Macaca fascicularis: one gene and its partners. The protein of the gene in region 3 binds, or shares a complex with, the protein of the main gene of each other region. Links are inferred from orthologs where the notes say so. Each region holds a gene or a part of one and is shown on either strand. Other genes may lie near its edges. The genes, in order: DAB2IP, PAK1, ARHGEF6, DCP1A and MAP3K5.

Evidence for each region.
Region 1: ARHGEF6 (region 3) and DAB2IP share a complex: the UniProt entries of both Homo sapiens proteins name them as parts of the cytoplasmic complex. The link is inferred for Macaca fascicularis from reciprocal best matches to the Homo sapiens genes ARHGEF6 and DAB2IP.
Region 2: ARHGEF6 (region 3) and PAK1 share a complex: the UniProt entries of both Homo sapiens proteins name them as parts of the cytoplasmic complex. The link is inferred for Macaca fascicularis from reciprocal best matches to the Homo sapiens genes ARHGEF6 and PAK1.
Region 4: ARHGEF6 (region 3) and DCP1A share a complex: the UniProt entries of both Homo sapiens proteins name them as parts of the cytoplasmic complex. The link is inferred for Macaca fascicularis from reciprocal best matches to the Homo sapiens genes ARHGEF6 and DCP1A.
Region 5: ARHGEF6 (region 3) and MAP3K5 share a complex: the UniProt entries of both Homo sapiens proteins name them as parts of the cytoplasmic complex. The link is inferred for Macaca fascicularis from reciprocal best matches to the Homo sapiens genes ARHGEF6 and MAP3K5.

Annotation. Positions count from the first base shown.
Region 1 is NC_088389.1:36,204,661-36,208,176, reverse strand, and holds part of DAB2IP (disabled homolog 2-interacting protein), read left to right. Parts: intron 1-1,198; coding exon 1,199-2,087; intron 2,088-2,867; coding exon 2,868-3,020; intron 3,021-3,516. UniProt on the Homo sapiens protein: Functions as a scaffold protein implicated in the regulation of a large spectrum of both general and specialized signaling pathways.
Region 2 is NC_088388.1:76,242,191-76,245,706, forward strand, and holds part of PAK1 (serine/threonine-protein kinase PAK 1), read right to left. Parts: exon of another isoform or gene 2,877-3,516; coding exon of another isoform or gene 2,817-2,876; intron 1,195-2,816; coding exon 1,075-1,194; intron 1-1,074. UniProt on the Homo sapiens protein: Protein kinase involved in intracellular signaling pathways downstream of integrins and receptor-type kinases that plays an important role in cytoskeleton dynamics, in cell adhesion, migration, proliferation, apoptosis, mitosis, and in vesicle-mediated transport processes.
Region 3 is NC_088395.1:142,926,501-142,930,735, reverse strand, and holds the start of ARHGEF6 (rho guanine nucleotide exchange factor 6), read left to right. Parts: upstream 1-1,431; 5' UTR 1,432-1,904; coding exon 1,905-2,069; intron 2,070-3,299; coding exon 3,300-3,383; intron 3,384-4,235. UniProt on the Homo sapiens protein: Acts as a RAC1 guanine nucleotide exchange factor (GEF).
Region 4 is NC_088376.1:116,470,820-116,474,335, reverse strand, and holds part of DCP1A (mRNA-decapping enzyme 1A), read left to right. Parts: intron 1-2,304; coding exon 2,305-2,432; intron 2,433-3,516. UniProt on the Homo sapiens protein: Necessary for the degradation of mRNAs, both in normal mRNA turnover and in nonsense-mediated mRNA decay. Removes the 7-methyl guanine cap structure from mRNA molecules, yielding a 5'-phosphorylated mRNA fragment and 7m-GDP.
Region 5 is NC_088378.1:40,610,025-40,613,430, forward strand, and holds the end of MAP3K5 (mitogen-activated protein kinase kinase kinase 5), read right to left. Parts: intron 2,347-3,406; coding exon 2,270-2,346; intron 1,290-2,269; coding exon 1,229-1,289; 3' UTR 517-1,228; downstream 1-516. UniProt on the Homo sapiens protein: Serine/threonine kinase which acts as an essential component of the MAP kinase signal transduction pathway. Plays an important role in the cascades of cellular responses evoked by changes in the environment.

The DNA of each region.
Region 1 (3,516 bases), on a different chromosome or scaffold from region 3:
GGCAGGCTTTTAAGCAGGGGAGGGTGCTGAGATCAAGAACCTGCTGAGATCAAGAACCTGGGGTTAGGGGAGCCTAGGAGGGGCCAGAGATGCAGGTCTGCTGAGTCTTGCATTGGATCTGTTCGGTGAATGTGCCAAGCGAAGCCAAGCAGAGTCACAGGCCAAGAGTTTGAAGTGGGGGGTGCGGTGGACAGCCCTTGAGCGGCTGAGAGGCAGCCGGGCCCGTGAGTTCTGAAAAGACGGACCTGGCGTGTGGCCTGGGCAGCCAGGTTCCCACTGCTCTCCATCTTTCCTGGCTCATCTGCTGCTCTAGCCAGCTCTCCCAGGCCCATGAGCATTGCAGCCCCGAGTGGCTGCTGCTGCCCATCTCAGGGAGTGGCGCTTCCTTGCCATCTGAGGCTAAGCCAACCCATTCCGCATTCCAAGCCATATCAACCCCCCCAAGTCCTTGCTGCCTTCAGTTCCCCCCACCCACGTTCTTCTCTCCAAAGCCCCCCCGGCCCCCACCACAGTTATGCTTTCTTCCAAAGGAGCTAGCTTCTGGGGAGGGGCCAGGGAGAGGCCAGAGAAAAGCGTAGAGTGAGGAGGAGGCCAGGGCAAGTGCAGCCCTCCCACCGAGTCATGCTCTCCATGGAGCCTGCTCTCATTCCTTGTTTTTGCCAGGAACTCCAGCCCCCGCCTGCCAGTCAAACAAGGGAGCGGCAGCAGGAGGCTGGGCAAGAGGAGGTTTCACCGGGCCCCCACTTCAGTTACCAGTCTGATTAGGAACAAGAGGGAAGAGGCAGAGGGAACCCAGTGACTCTGAAGTTGGAGTTCTCAATGCAGGATCCGTGGATAGCAGAGAGCCACTGAGTTGTGGCTTAGGGCTTAGCTAAGGAGGAGTTTTCCAGAGCAAGCCAGGCCCCAGTACCCATTGTCCCAAGATGCAGCTGAACAGGGAAGGGGTCTTCCAGGCAGCGCGGCCTGAAATGTGCAGTGCTGGCCCCTAAAGAAGAGGTTCTGTGCAGGAGCAGCCGCCTCAGCCTCTGGTCCCCGGATTCTCCCACTCCTGTTACCCGAGCGCATCCATCTCCCCAGCGCTGGCTTGGGCTGCCAGGCCCCGGCAGGTTGGTGGGTGCTGTCGGTTTGGACCCGCCTTGGCTGCACTCACAGTTCTTCTTTTCCCCTTCTTTCCCTGTGTGTGCTTGTCTCCCTGCAGTCTGATAGATTTCACCCGGTTACCGTCTCCAACCCCCGAAAACAAGGACTTGTTTTTTGTCACAAGGTCCTCCGGGGTCCAGCCCTCACCTGCCCGCAGCTCGAGTTACTCGGAAGCCAACGAGCCTGATCTTCAGATGGCCAACGGTGGCAAGAGCCTCTCCATGGTGGACCTCCAGGATGCCCGTGCGCTGGATGGGGAGGCAGGCTCCCCAGCGGGCCCCGATGTCCTCCCCACAGATGGGCAGGCCCCTGCAGCTCAGCTGGTGGCTGGGTGGCCAGCCCGGGCAACCCCAGTGAGCCTGGCAGGGCTGGCCACGGTGCGGCGGGCAGGCCAGACACCAACCACACCAGGCACCTCCGAGGGCGCGCCAGGCCGGCCCCAGCTGTTGGCACCGCTCTCCTTCCAGAACCCTGTGTACCAGATGGCGGCTGGCCTGCCGCTGTCACCCCGCGGCCTTGGCGACTCAGGCTCTGAGGGCCACAGCTCCCTGAGCTCACACAGCAACAGCGAGGAATTGGCGGCCGCTGCCAAGCTGGGAAGTTTCAGCACTGCCGCGGAGGAGCTGGCTCGGCGGCCCGGTGAGCTGGCACGGCGACAGATGTCACTGACTGAAAAAGGCGGGCAGCCCACGGTGCCACGGCAGAACAGTGCTGGCCCCCAGAGGAGGATCGACCAGCCTCCGCCCCCACCCCCGCCGCCACCTCCTGCCCCCCGCGGCCGGACGCCCCCCAACCTGCTGGGCACCCTGCAGTACCCAAGACCCTCAAGCGGAACCCTGGCATCGGCCTCACCTGATTGGGCAGGCCCCAGTACCCGCCTGAGGCAGCAGTCCTCTTCCTCCAAGGGGGACAGCCCAGAACTGAAGCCACGGTCAGTGCACAAGCAGGTCAGTGCCACTAGTCAGAGGGCAGGGCTGGGCACTTGGGCCCAGCTGGGCTGTCATACCCCATACCATCCTCCTCCTCTCAGTCATTTCACCTCCTCCCTCACCCAGCTGCCATCCCATCCCACCAGCCTGCCACATGCACCACCACCCCCTCCCCCTGGCTTCTTCCTGAATCCTGTGAACCAGGGACACTGTAGCCTTGGGGAACTCCAGGCCTTTCTGTCAGTGCCCCTAGGGGCAGGCTGGGGTCAGAGAGAAAGAGTGCATTCATCTTCAGTTCCAAGCCTGTCGAAGCCCTCACCCAAAGTAGGAGTCATCTTGCCCTACTCTGGCCCCACACTCCCCTCCCAAAATGTTTTCACAGGCTGGACAGACCTCCAGGCACAACCACCTGGAGCATGGATGGCCCTGTCACCCAAAGGCTGCAGGCGGTGTCTGGAGTGGAGGTGCCTTGGGCTGACAGCCCAGCCTGGCCCTGTCCTCCTCTCAGCTCAGCCTGCCCTGGTGCCCCCAGTGGCAGGGTCACTCTCTGTCCCCTTGGCAGCAGAGGGTGCTGCTCAGGAGGCCACCTGGCACCTATCGGCTTTGCCTTCGGCTACCGTCTGAGAGACAGTGTTCCTGGGTGGGGACTGCCTCTGTAGGCGCTCAGTCAGCTGGAGGACCCTTCCCTCCCCACCATGTCCCAGAGCTGCTTGTCCTTGTGGCTCACCTGGGCCACTAATGCCCTTCCTGCTTGCCCTCCTCCTCCCTCCAGCCCCTCACAGCTGTGTTTCGTTGTAGGGCCCTTCACCCGTGAGCCCCAATGCCCTGGACCGCACAGCCGCTTGGCTCTTGACCATGAACGCGCAGTTGTTAGAAGACGAGGGCCTGGGCCCAGACCCCCCCCACAGGGATAGGCTAAGGAGTAAGGACGAGCTCAGCCAAGCAGAAAAGGTAAAGCTGGACCCTGGCAGCTCGGGGCAGGGCGGGGCTGCCTCCTGGAGCAGCTGGTAGGAGTCTCTCCCCCAGGTCCCCCAGCAGTGGGTGCTTGTGTCCTTGTGAAGGGCTTGTCCCCTCTGAGCCCCTGTTCCCTGTGAGGATAGCAGTCAGTAGGGTCTGGAAGAAAAGTAACAAGAGGGATGGATTAGCAGCTTAGACCTGAGGCTTCCCATCTACAGATTGGAATCACAAGGGAATTGTCTTAGATATAGACTCCTGGGACCTCTGGGAAGGCTCCTTAGCCTGGGGCAACTGAGGCAGCTGAGCTTCCTGAGGACCTGGGGGTTGAGGGGCTGAGGGGCTGAGGGTGCCCAAGAGACATATAGAGCCCCCCTGAGGGAGCCTAGTACCTGAGGAGGCAGAGGCATGGGTCCCCAGGATGACTGGGAGAGCCACCCCAGCCTGGCCTCCGGGGCTTGTGCCTGCCCACGGCCTGGCTCTTCACCACTCT
Region 2 (3,516 bases), on a different chromosome or scaffold from region 3:
TTAAACACTAGAAATACATATATATGGATTTCCTCTACTTTTTGAGGTGTTCATGGTTTAGTGGGGAAAAAAATGTTTTAAATGAACATGCCTACAAATAAAAAAAAAACATATCAGTGTTAACAACTCTCCAATTTTGAAGCCCATTTTCCCTTAAGGTAACTTTGTGACCTACAGAGAAAATGATTCCACAGATTCTGTTTATAAGTTCTCATCTTAAAAGGTCATATAATTCCTTTGAATTTCCTCCACAGCATCTCCAATAGTCACTCAACCAATTTCTGTTCGAACACCTCCCTGAATGCCGTATTCCAGAGGTAGCCCTTTTTTATTTATTTATTTATTTATTTTCAAGATCACAGAAGTGCTAGATGATTCCTTCATTATGGACCTAAACAAAGAAACACTAGTAGAGTATCATCTGATGGCAGGTCAGTGCTCAGTGATGCCAAATTAAGTAAAAGGCACGGGGACTAGATTTTTCAAAGCAAGGGTAGAGGGACTATGGCTATTCTCAGATGCAGGAACTTCAAAGAAAGTTAAACAGAAATCATTGCCAACATCCGGCATCAAAATGCACTCCTGATGCCCAGCATATTAATAGCGCTAATGTATTTATAAATTCTCTTGGGTCTTTCAGTATTATCGATAATGCTCTAAGAGGCTCAATGCTGCATATTTAACAGAGAAGAAAAGATCTGTAGCAAGACAATTTGTTGCTTCCCTGGAGACTGGAATAATTTATGTTTGTCCTGCACTAAGTAGCATCAATCCTGTATATCTTCCTGTCCTATCTGTGGAGAACAGGCTAAGCAAACCAAGACTGGATTGGTATAAACATCAATTACATAGGACACTTTGGGACTATCTACAAACCGATGATAAATAAATACACCATTTTTTGTCTTTAATCATACAGAAAGTACCTTTAGTCAAGGTAGTTCAGTGATTTCACCAGCTCCAAAATCTAAGGACCCCTACCAGAATATTAAATTTCTAGGTCTTAGCACCAACTCCTCCCTCTCCCCACTTACTCTAATAAATCACAAAACTGTCCAGGTCCCAAAGACTCACAGATTTTGTGTGCTCTGGGCGTGGAGCAATCACTGGTGGTGGGGTAGCATCATCATCATCATCATCCTCATCTTCTGAAACTGGTGGCACTGCAGGAGTCTCAGACACAGCCTTCACATTCTGTGCAAAGAAGAAAAGCAAGATGCATCTGGTCCAGCTGCCATGGAACTTAACTATCAGGATCACCAAACCCCCCAGGGAGAAACCCCAACCTGATACCCCTTCTGAAATCCACATTAGCCTCCAAGCTCTCACCTCCATGTAGCTAGTCTCAGAAACTCAATCTGTTTCTCCCTCTTCTCTTAGCCATCATATCCACTCAATCCCTTGGAGCTTCCTTCTCCCACCCAAAGCCTAACTGTGAATGGGAAGCTAGCTTACAGCTTTTCTACCTGCCTCTCCCCCAACCCAACCCCTGAAGACAAGCTCACAGTACCTTCTTATTCTATGAATTTTGCTCTCCATACTGAATAGGAAATAAAGTATGAAATGTAGGGAAGGGATCAAAAGTTTCTAATTTTTCAAAATTCATCATTATAATTTCTTACTCTCTCCTGATATGGTAAATGGCAGTCTAAACAGGCTTTTGCCCTGTCCTTTTCCTCTCTTTGCAAAAATTTCCTGGACCCATTACGTCACCAGGGGTCCTCACCTCAACCTGAAGATAAAGAACATCAGCATCAGGATCATGTTGTCTAAAGAGAACAATGAATTTCTCCCCAGACTGGATACTATTTCCCTAAGCTTCCGCCCTACCCTGGAATGGAACTTATCACTAATTAGATCTGCTCACAATCTGTGACAACCTGATTTCCCCATGCAAACTGTAACAGAGCTGGGCCAAGAGTGGCAGGTTTTAGGGCAGGTCCAGGCAAAAATAGCATACCATTACTGTTTATTACACAGAATTAAGAGACAAAATGCCTCCAAAACATGAGATTTTTGATAGAGACCAAATGATTCTATCATTTGGTCAGCAAAGAACCAGAGAGGCAATGGGGATCTTTTAATATATACTGATATAATTCAATAGTTTCAGGTATTTTCAGAGCACCTACTTTGTGCTCAGTAAGACTGATACTGTTGACATAAATGTACAAAGATGAAAAAGATGGTCCATGTCCTAAAGTAGTGACCATCTGGTATAGGAGATAGACAGAGGATGAGAGCCCCTCCTGCCTGACACCTGGAGCCTCCTAAGAGGAAGGTCAAGAGTCAGAATAACGGGATAAATGGAAGAACTAAGGAATAATATACTAGAGCTACTGACTGTGGAAGACTGTCTTTTACCACATTTGACATACAAAAGTAGGAAAAACTGGCACTCTCATAGACTTTAACAGGGCCTCCAGCACAAAGCATAACTTAAAAACTGACAGTGCTGGGCATATATAAGCAGTTGTGACCACAGGCAATAAATCTGTCTTCTTGGTTTGAAGTTTAATCACCTGAGGAATGTGAAGGAAGAGGAGTGTTATAATTTGAGGGATGACCTTAAATCGTTTTCAGTTCCAAAACTCAAGAGAGGTTCTTTCCCTGTCAAAATATGTATTTCGATATTTTTCTGCTCTAATTTATTTTCTCCCCACTAGTCAACAAAATTTAACTAAAAACCTAATGTGGGAATAAAGTTGACTCAGCAAGGCTCTTCATCATCAGGTAGCCCTGGAGCTCCCCTGATGTATACTATAAACACTAGGTTTGTTTGCTTTATAAAACTGTAGAGAAGGGGATTTCATCACCTTCCTCAGTAAAAGATTCTGTCTTCCATAGGTGATAGCTTTGGGCAGTGATAATAACATCTGTCAGAGAGAGAAAGGTCTAGGTTATTACCTAGATTTTTACTTGTTAGCCCTGTGTCCTTGGGCAAGGGTCTAAGTTAAGTCTCACATTTTTAATATATAAAATAGGGATAATGACTACAGCTTTCTGCCTACCTCAGAGGGCCATTAAATGGATGAAATGAGGCAAAGTGAACATAAAATCACTGAAAATGGTAAAGAGCTAGAAAGATGTAAGGAATCAATTAAATTATCATTATGTCTAATAATCACAAATCTCTGTTTCAAACAAAAGCCACACATTCCACTATTCATCATCCATCTACCCATCTAGCCATCCATCCATCCATTCACTGTGTGCCAGGCTCCATTCTAGGCTCTGGGGCTAAATAAAGAATAAAACGGATAAAGCCTCTGGTTCTATAACTTACATTCTAGAAGAGAATAGAGTAAAAAACAATCACCAAAGTCTCTGCTCCACATAGGAGCAGAGATTGGTTGGGGGGGTGGGGAGACACTATTTTAGATACCATAGGCATGGGCAAGCCTCTCTAATGAGATGTCATATAACAGTGACCTGAATGAATTAAGGGAGCAAGCCATGGGGCTGAGAAAAGGATATTCCTGGCAGATGGAAGAAGTTAAAGACTCTGAGACAGAA
Region 3 (4,235 bases):
ATTCATTCATTTATTCATTCATTCATTCAACATTTTTTTTTTTTTTGAGACGGAGTCTCGCTCTGTCGCCCAGGCTGGAGTGCACTGGCCGGATCTCAGCTCACTACAAGCTCCGCCTCCCGGGTTTACGCCATTCTCCTGCCTCAGCCTCCCGAGTAGCTGGGACTACAGGCGCCCGCCACCTCGCCCGGCTAACTTTTTGTATTTTTTTTAGTAGAGACGGGGTTTCACCGTGTCAGCCAGGATGGTCTCGATCTCCTGACCTCGTGATCCGCCTGTCTCGGCCTCCCAAAGTGCTGGGATTACAGGCTTGAGCCACCGCGCCCGGCCTCAACATTTTTTAACATCTACCATGTATACCTGGCAGTCTGCTGGTAACACAGTGTTAAATAAAACAAACAAGACCCCGAGTTTAGGAAGCTTACATTCTGGTGGAGGAGTCAGATCATCATATCAACAAGTGATAATAGTGAAGTGTGACAAGTGTCCTGACAGAGCAAGAAAGGGCAGCTTTGAAAATGTTTAGTAGGGTTATCTAAGCTGATTCTTTGGTAGTAGATGCCTGAAGCTGTGTTGAAAAGAATTCTGAGGCTTAGCAGGAAAGAGCTATAAATGATCTGATGTCTCCCATGCTTGAGGAGAGGTGATGATGGTAAGTGCCACACATTTGCCAACATAGAGTTATACTATTAAAGTTGGCCTTATCATACATTTCCCAATAGTATGCCTATTTCAAGTGGTTCTGAAAATGTTTGAGAATGATGAAGATCTCTTGTTATAGACTTTTTTTTTTTTTTTTTTTTTTTTTTTTTTCAGAGCAGTATTTTGAGTGCAAAGTGTTTTTTTGTTGGGGAAATATGAATCTTCCACATTGTAGTGTAGATAGAGGACAAGTGCTCTTTTGTTCTCAAACATTCTATTTTTTCAAATGTATTTTACCCACTTATGTGACTGAGTCTGAGCCTTTGCTTAGGGTACTGCAGCTGGATTATGTAGTGGAACCAGGTCCAGAAAAAGAATTGCTAAAGAATGCAAGTAAACAGGATGTCAGATGTTATCCTTAGCCTATTTCCCTAAACATAGCTTTTTGGCTGCAAAGTAAAATGCCATTCTTCTAGCTTCTGCTTATACACAGTGATGGCTGGCAGCAGGCACAATCTTCGTTTGCTTGGCACGTTGTCACCATGCAACTCAACGTGTTTTGCAAGGAATCATCGTGACACACCATCTCTGGGAGATAGTATGAGGACATCCGGTTATTTCTTGGAAGAATTTTCTGCCTACCTTCTTTGAGCCCTGTTGTGCCAGCGTATCTCCCCATGAGGCTCAGATCTGTCTGACCTAAGAGCCAGTTGGCATCGTCCTCCTAACAGAAGCCAGATTTTCACTGGGGCTAGACTATTTATTGACAGTGTTTTCCCAGACTGGCCCATGAGTGTCTCATTTCCAAGGTCCCCTGAAGTGCTGGCTCACCTCTGTTTCCCAAAGCACTTGCTTGCTTGTCTCTCCTCCCTCCCCAGCATCCTTCTCACTTTCTTCCCTTATAACTTCTCGCACTCTGTGTGCGTGTGTGTGTGTATGCGTGTGTGCATGTGTTTTTCTTCTTCTTTTTTTATCCTAATGAGTTTGTTTTACAGGTTTTGAAAAGGAAAAACCAGTGTTATCCAGGATTGTTAGGTTAATTCTTATCTGTTTCCACGTCTTGGACCGTGATCTCTGTGGTTTTAAAATCCTGTATTTTGAGTGGGTTCCGCTGTTGTTTGAGAAAAGTTGCTTTAAACCTTTGCTCTACAAGCACCCGAAGAGAACTCATAAAAAGGAAGACAACAGCAGATGCAATCGCGGATGTGGCTTAGTCCTTGCAGCTGCCCCAGAGTGCTGTTTGGAGTGTACTGTCCTCAGTAATGAATCCAGAAGAACAAATCGTGACATGGCTTATATCTTTGGGAGTTTTAGATTCCCCTAAAAAGACCATCTGTGATCCGGAGGAGTTTTTAAAGTCCTCGCTGAAAAATGGGGTAGTTCTGTGCAAACTGATCAACAGACTCATGCCCGGCTCTGTGGAAAAGGTAAGGGAAATTTGTAGTCTCTTTGGGATTGCTTATCACCAGAGAGTAGCAATCATATAACTCTTGAGATTTTTCTATTTCCCAGGCCGTGGGAGTCTCCTACTTTAATATTTTTCTAAGAGTTAGACATTTTTTCTTACTGTTTTTGTAGTTTGAAAATGTAAGAAAATGAAATGTTGTTCTTTAGTAATTGGCCCCCAAATTGTAGTATAGGGAAAACCTGTGACACTACTGGCAATAGGGGACAAGGAGAACACTCATATCACAAGCTTGCTCTATCGTGGAGATGCATGTTACATCTCCTTGTGTACCGAGGACATGTTTTGAACTTGGGGTACTTATGAGTCTGTGGAAAAATAGAATGATTTATAACAGATCTTGGTGGTGTTTTTTGGCAGTTTGACTAAAATCAGTGTAGATTTCGTTTTACAAAAATCCATTGAAGGAGAGACTATATAGCAACTAAGAGTAATAATTCAAAATGTCACATAAAGTTTGTAAAAGCAATAGAAACCAGATATATGTTTCGAATGCAATGTGCGTTCAAAGTGAAACTAACTTTACTCTCTTTAAAACAATTCAAGATTTTTAATAGCTGGAAACCCATGATCACAAGAATAGATAATTTCTTAAGTAGGCACTTTAAGTAGCTTAAAGGTACAATTTTACATTTACTTTCTTAAGGTCATCATGGACTGTGAGTATATCACTTTTGCCTGCATGGACCAGTTTGTATTTTTATTGAGCAAATAAATTTACTTATAGTTTCTTAAACTTGAGAAAGAGTGATTACATAGTGATAAAATGTAAAGAAATGGGATCAAATGTAGAGAACAGCCAAGGGGAAATATAATTTTATTAAATTATCAGGGGGAAGCGAGGAAAGAGAGAGGTACCAGGGATTGCTTCCTTTCTTGAAAGCAAGAACTAAGCTAAAAAAACTGTCTTGGTCTCCCTAATTTGCCATCAGCACACTGGAATAGAAGGCATGAGAGAAAGCTTGTAAGTAGACATGACTTGCCACTAAAGGTTTGGTGACATTTGAAACAAAGATCGACCGTTTAGATTTTTGCATCACTTCCTTCAGTGGTTATTTCTCTTCCTGGATTGACAGCAGTGTTGCCCCATACCTTAAGAAGCCTGCTTTCTCTAGTTATCAGCAAATGATGAATATACTTTGCTTGGCATGGGATGACAATCTCCAAGTGACATTTCACTGTGTTCCTCTAGTTTTGTCTAGATCCCCAAACTGAAGCTGACTGCATCAACAACATCAATGACTTTCTGAAAGGATGTGCAACCCTCCAAGTGGAAGTAAGCCTACCCCGGGTGCCTTCCCTGTTGTTATTGTTTTTTTTGCTCTGCTAATCAAGATTGGTAGTAAAAGTACTTGGTTTATTTTCACTGTCATTGGCCACTGAGTTAAACAGAGGTAGCAGACTGGTGGTCCCCAGTAATGGATTGCTAGTCTGTCTTTTCCAGAAACCAGTTCCAAGCAAAACAAAACAAAATCAAAACTCAAACAATGATGTCTTTTATATACAGCATCCAAGCCCTGTAAACAGGCTTCCAGTGACAGAGCTTGTGTGGGTGTGTTCCCCTACTAAGGGGGAACCAAAAGCAGGCCACTGACTGTTGGAGAGGGTCACTGTAATCCTCCCAAGTTGAGAAAAGAGGAAAGGCCATTGTTACTCCTTCCCATTAACACTTTAGAACAGAGGCCTTGAAAAGCTGAGAGAACTTGGCTCTGAGGTAGAAATTGTGTAGTAAATTTTGTTGCATTATTTTATATTATATGGATCCCTACAGTGTGTATAGGAAGTGTTGCTGAAAGGGAGTTGATACTTCCACATGTGCATCAAGTTGCTTAACTTCACTGTGCTTCATTATTTTTATCTGTAAAATGGATATGCTAATAGCCAACTCATGGGATTGCTTTAAGAATCAAATAAGGCTGGGCATGGTGGCTCATGCCTTTAATCCTAGGCCAAGGCAGAAGGATTGCTATAGCCCAGGAGTTCGAGACCAGCCTGGACAGTATGGTGAAATGGTGACTCTACAAAAAATACAAAAATTAGCCAGGCATGGTGGCGTGTGCCTGTAGTCCCAGCTACTCGGGAGGCTGAGGTGGGATGATCGCTTGAACCCGAGAGGCGGAGGTTGCAG
Region 4 (3,516 bases), on a different chromosome or scaffold from region 3:
ATTTGGGGAAAAGATAATACATAGACTAGCTCTGTAAAATAATGTTTTTCATTACCTCTGTTGTTTTATTACTGCATGGGTGGTTGTCTTTTATGACTGGTTCTGTCCTCTTTCCCAACCCCTAGAAGTTCTAGATTTTGTACAGTGTCTTGTTTGAGAGTTCTTTAGAAAGCTTGGATTATGCATAATGGCATATTTTTTATTTTTAACTTATTCAAAAATTCATTATCTTTAAGATTGGTTTGCAAATTGCAACTGTTTTGTTAGGCAGCTTCTGGGGCCTAAAGACAACTGACAGTATATGATAGTCATGGGGTGCTTGTTTTCCTGGATTCCTCTAAGGTCTTACTCTGACAAGGACAGGTTCCTTCCCTTGTTTTCTAAAGCTTGAGTCAGCAGGAGTTATTACTGGTATCTGGTCTTTTCCCTTTTTTTTTGCATTGAGTTGCTTTTTAAGGATTGCCTTTCTCCATTGATGCCAATTTAAAATAATTTGTCAAATACTCTTCCAAATTTTGATACAAAGCCTTGAGATCTTATCTAAATGCACTCCATTTTTTTCTTCTTTTAAGTGTAATTCTTTGATATTTGTACACCAAGCTCTTCTTTCTTAGACACTTTGTTTGTTCGCTGCTATACATCTTTCTTCTTTTAAAAAGAAAGGGATCGGCCAGACGCAGTGGCTCACGCCTGTAATCCCAGCACTTTGGGAGGCCGAGGCAGGTGGTTCACGAGGTCAGGAGATAGAGACCATCCTAGCTAACACGGTGAAACCCCATCTCTACTAAAAATACAAAAAAATCAGCTGGGCGTGATGGTGGGTGCCTATAGTCCCAGCTACTCGGGAGGCTGAGGCAGGAGAATAGCGTGAACCCAGGAGGTAGAGCTTACAGTGAGCCGAGGTCAAACCATTGCACTCCAGCCTGGGTGACAGAGCGAGACTCTCATAAAATAAATAAACAGATAAATAAATAGGAAGGGATCTTTACCCTCACTCCCTTCATTACTCTTCATTAGCAGTATAAATCTCTAGAAACTCTGTTATTAGAACCTTAGTTTCTATGATATTTGGAAAAGGTACTTTACTGGCTTTATTGTTATCATACAGAGGCACTGATTATAGAAAGTAGGAGATTTAGTGTAGTGGTGGCTGGATTTAATACAATTCACAGAGTCTAATATGGTACTGATTCTAATTAAATGAGACGCAAGAAACTGTGTTTGGAAAATGTGAGACTATTTTGTGTACCTTGGATAAAGGTATACCAAGATGTCAGACTATCACTTTGCAGAGATTACTTCGTATAGTAGAAGCTTGGATTTGGAGTCAAAAAACCTGAAACTGAATCCGAATTACATTATTTGTAACTCATTATTTGTGTGACCTCAGGCACAGTCCTTAATCATTCAAAGCTTGTCTTCTAGTCTGTAGAATAGTGTTAACACCCCATATATATCGTAGAGAAACAAACGAAAAACTATGAAATGTTAGGTACATGTGAAGAGTAAGGGATCATATACCGAATCCCTCTGATACGGGAACCAAGGATGTTTCCTATTGTAGGATTCAAGGCATTTTCTGTCTAACTCAGGAGCACTATGTAAAGATCTGTTTGGTGCAAGAAAAACCATTATTGTAATGATGGGCAGCCATTATAGCCAATCCAATGGAATGATATTTCATTCAGCAACTGTGTGTCTATATTGGGATGTATGTGTGAAAAAAGTAAGACAAAAGCTCCATTTGCATGGGGCTTACATCCTAGTGGGGGCAGGACAATAAATATTAAAAATAAGTAGTATGGATAAAAGAGAAAGGTTAGAGGTATTGAGCTTGGGAACATTAAAAAGGGTAGTTCAAGTAGGCCTCATGAAAAAGGTGACATCTGAACAAAGGCTTGCAGGAGATGAGATAGCTGTGCAGCTTCTGGGGCCGTAATCCAGGAAGAGGTCTTTAGGTAGAAGCACACATGCAGAGAGAGTGGCAAGGAGCCCAGTGTGGCTGGAGAGGAGGAGGTGGGGAAGAGCCATAGGAAATGAAGTTAGAGGGGGAATACATCAGGTGGGGCCTTGGTGGCCTCAGTAAGGACTTTGACCTTTACTCTGAGAGACTGTCTTTGGAGACTTCTCATCAGAGGAAGAATATGATCTGACTTAAATGTTTTGTTTACAGGTGTAAGTGCTTGATAATATTGTATGTTCTAACGTACTCTTTTCTGAAATGAAAATAAAGCACATAGTAGATAACATTTCTACAGATTAAATGGTAACTGCATATTTTTTTTTCCTTCTATTAAATCTAAGGTCAGCTTCCCCTTACCATGGTTTTACCATTGTGAATCGACTAAATATGCACAATCTAGTTGAACCAGTGAATAAAGATTTGGAATTTCAGCTCCATGAACCATTTCTTCTGTATAGAAATGCAAGCTGTGAGTATATCTGTTTTATTATAGTTATTACATTTAAAATCGAGTGACTTTAGTTTCTATCAATCCATTATTTAGTAAGTTTCAAATTACAAAACAAAATATGGCCTATACTTTATGATTATAAATGAGTCTGTTAGAAAGATCAGACGTTTTAAACTGGGCTCTGAGACCAGACGTGGTGGCTCACGCCTGTAATCCCAATACTTTGGGAGACCGAGGAGGGCAGATTACCTGAGGTCAGGAGTTCGAGACCGCCCAGGCCAACATGATGAAACCCCATCTCTACTAAAAATACAGAAAAAAATTAGCCGGACTTGGTGGTGGGCACCTGTAATCACTTGAACCTGGCAGGTAGAGGTTGCAGCGAGCCGAGATCGCGCCATTGCACTCCAGCCTGGGCAACAGAGTGAGACTCTGTCTCAAAAAAATAAATAAATATACTGGGGTCTGAAACTAGAAACATTCTTTTGTATATAATTTTGTTTACTATTTCATTTACTAGCACTACATTTATGTTGTTGGTTTATTAAAATAAGGTTTATGCCTTTGTTTTTTTGCAGCTGTGGACTATCAGCTGCCCACATCCCTGAGCAACAGAACTTAGTTTGGGACACACAGGATGGGAGCAGATACAGATAATTCTTTCCACAAAGAAAGTATTATTTTTGCCCAGAATAGTGGTGGTGGGGTTTTTTTTAAAGATATTTATTACTTTTTCTACTTTATTTTGTCTGAATATGTTTCTAAGTAGGGTTTTTCTATCTGTTTATTTAATTGAGTGTCTGCTGGTTACCAGCACTGAGCCAAGAGCTATGGTGCTTTAATGTTTGTAACCTATGTGCTATAGGGAGGCAGTTAAGTCAACTAAGACTCAGAGATGCAAAACTATTACTCTGTTGGAGAGTTAGGATTATAACTCTTCTGCTTTTTAGTCCAGGGTTCTTTCAGGCATTTTTACAGCCTCTAATAATAATTGGATGCAGTCAGCAAAGCTAGATTGGCCCTTCCAAGAAACTACAGTACTAAAAAGTGTACTTGATTCCAGTGTGTTGGTATGGATATTGAAGGTATGGGTGTTTGAGGA
Region 5 (3,406 bases), on a different chromosome or scaffold from region 3:
GTATTCTCCATTAAGATGGTCTTTGCAGACGCCTTAAGATACACAATAGTCATCCAAGATAACTTGGGGCCTTGAGAAAAATATACTTCCCTTTATTCTTTTTTTCCTCACCCTCTTTTTTTTTTTTTTTTTTTTTTTTTTGAGACAGGGTCTTACTCTGTTGCCCAAGCTAGAGTGAAATGGCACAATCATGGCTCACTGCAATCTCAACCTCCCGGGCTCAAGTGATCCTCCTGCCTCAGCCTCCCATGTAGCTAGGACCACAGGTGTGCACAACCACACCTAGCTGAATGTTTGAGTTTTTGTAGAGATGGGGTCTCACTTTGTTGCCCAGGCTTACCCTTTCTTAAACCTCCATTCCCCTGAGGAACAACCTGGATGTCAGTTGTCTGACTGCTTGAATAGAAGACAGATTTTACTAAATGTTATAGCTGGAGAAACGACTGGAAATTTAACACAGCAGACTATCTAGTTTGTCAATACAAAATAAGAATTCTTTAGAAGTTATCAAAACAGTATGTTGAGAGTCTTTTTAATTTTTAGAGTAAATATGACACAATGGATAGCTTTAGAACAAGCTAACGTTACTACGGTTCAAGCATGTGCAACTGGTACAGTTCAGTAGTACATAAACGACTCAAACAAATGTACGACAGGTCAGAAACTTAAGTTACAAAATATAGTCAATATTACAATTAACACAGAGAAGTAAAAACCATTGCTCTCAGATTCTGCACACTTAAAAAAACATAAACTTTATACAGTAATTGAAATTATGCATTTCTACTCAGATTATTAGAGCATATTACAAACACACAGAAGCCTAAAAAGTTATGGTCACATTTTGGTTTTGTTCCAGTGGTGCACAATCACATGAAATGTTACATCCGTTTTGTGTGAAATAAACATTTGGCTGAAGTGCAATAGCTGCTGCATTAAAAATATTTCCATAAAAATGCTTAGATTAAAATCTTCCTGAACGTTAGGGTTCTAATGTTCAGGATTATTTTAAGAGTCCTTATGAAGAGTCCTTAAAAATTATAGAAATAGATGTAGTTAGGAAATTTCAGTGTGTTTTGTCTGTTTTTTTTTTTTTTTAACGTGAGTAAACAAATACTGGATTTAAAGTGCAGCTCCTTTCTCCTCTCCCTTCGATTTTCCCACCCCCAAGAAGGTCAGATCTGTATTAATTTTTAGAATTTCCATTGAAGATTAAATTGAGCAACAGTCAAGTCTGTTTGTTTCGAAAGTCAATGATGGCCTTCCACAGTGTGCACAGCATCCCTCCCCTGTTGAAAGACACAAGAACATGGTGAAAAGAACATTTCATTTGAAACACTGCCCTTGAAATAGAAAAGTGACTTCTTAGCTTTCATCTGCTCTGGTCAGAAGAAGATCCCAAAGTCTGATCAGTTATTATGTATTCTTTTTGTATATATTTTCTCATCTTCCCTCCATTCCTTCTCTTTTCACTCCCACAAACTGCTGTGTCCCAAAACATCATTTCAGATTTTCAGCATTTTTGAAATTTGTCTTTATAATGGTGGGTATAATAGTTTTCTGCTTGGGCTGGGTGTGGTGGCTCACACCTGTAATCCCAGCACTTTGGGAGGCTGAGGCAGGCAGATCATGAGGTCAGGAGATTGAGACCACCCTGGCTAACACGGTGAAACCCTGTCTTTACTGAAAACACAAAAAAATTAGCTGGGCATGGTGGCGAGCACCTGTAGTCTCAGCTACTCGGGAGGCTGAGGCAGAAGAATGGCGTGAACTTGGGAAGCGGAGCTTGCAGTGAGCCAAGATCACGCCACTGCATTGCAGCCTGGGTGACAAAGCGAGACTCCATCTCGGAAAAAAAAAAAAAGTTCTATGCTTGGCCTTAATTAATAATAAATTATATCAGATTATACCAGGCTTTTGGAGGGCAAGTCAGCACCTCCTCCAAATATTTATTGAGTATAACACCATCATGAACTCAATTAAAGCATTTGTGTAAGGCAGCTTCAGAATATCTGCATGGACTTAGTCTGCATATTATTCAAAAAAATTCTTCCAGTTGATTTTCACTTACTAATATAGAAATATTGGTTATTAGAGCCCTCAAAAATAGAATGGTCCAACTAACTCAGTTTACTCAGAGCAGCTAAGAACTAGAGAGCTCTGTCCAGAACTGCAAAGCTAATTAGAGACCCAGCCTGGGCAGGTACTCAGACTTTCTTATATTAGCCCGGTACTCTTTCTATCGTGACAACAGAAAGAAAAGTGGTACCTTAGTCTCAAGCATTTTAAGTCATCACGTGTAACATAGTAGAGAACATCCAATAGTGTATAATCTTCAGCCAAAAACTGTAGAGAAAGTAGAATATGCACAAAAGTAAGATGTTTTATATAACTTTAATAAAGCACAAACTCTATTTATAATGTAAACCTTGACTATAATTAAAAATGAATCTAAAAATGAAATTACTAAAAACACAATCTTCTGTGATTATTAGGGGAAAGGCCTCCCTATTACTCAATAAATACAAATAAATGCATCCAGGCTGGGTGCAGTGGCTCACACCTATAACCCCAGCACTTTGGGAGGCTGAGGCAGGCGGATCATCTGAGGTCAGGAGTTCGAGACCAGCCTGGCCAAAGTGGTGAAACCCCATCTCTACTAAAAATACAAAAAATTAGCTGGGCGTGGTGGCATGTGCCTGTAATCCCAGCTACTTGGGAGGCTGAGGCAGGAGAATCACTTGAACTCAGGAGGCAGAGGTTGCAGTGGGCTGAGATTGAACAACTGTACTCCAGCCTGGGCGACAGAGTGAGACTCCATACAAAAAAAAAATACAAATGCATCCATATTAACTTCCAAATGCAAAAAGATTACAAGTGACACAGAACTTCTGAATGGTCTTCTAATGAACAGATGAGACTCACTTGTAATCACATCTGCTGTTCAAAAACAAATCTTGTATTTAGAAGTTCAATGCTATGTAGCTTTGTTTTTTCTCAAGTGGATAAAAAGTGTTCCTGGAAAGGTGTTGCCTATGCTTAATTTCTGAACTTACTTTTTCATGGTTAAGCAAAGGCACTTGACTGTAATTCACCATAAAAGCAGAATCTTAATTTGAACTGCACCTTTACATTTTTAAATTTTATTTTTTTTATATATATATAGAGAGACAAAGTCTCACTATATTGACCAGCCTCATCTCCAACACCTGGCATCAAGCAATCTGCCTATGCTTCCCAAAATGTTGGGATAACAGGCGGGAGCCACTGCACCTGTCCTGAAGCTTTGAAATCAAATAAGAAAGGGCAATTATTTAGTAGATTATCAATTACTATTCCGTAATTGGGATTTGAGCCTAAGTTAGAGGAATGTATATTCTGGAGTTGTTTAAATTTATTCAGCTGT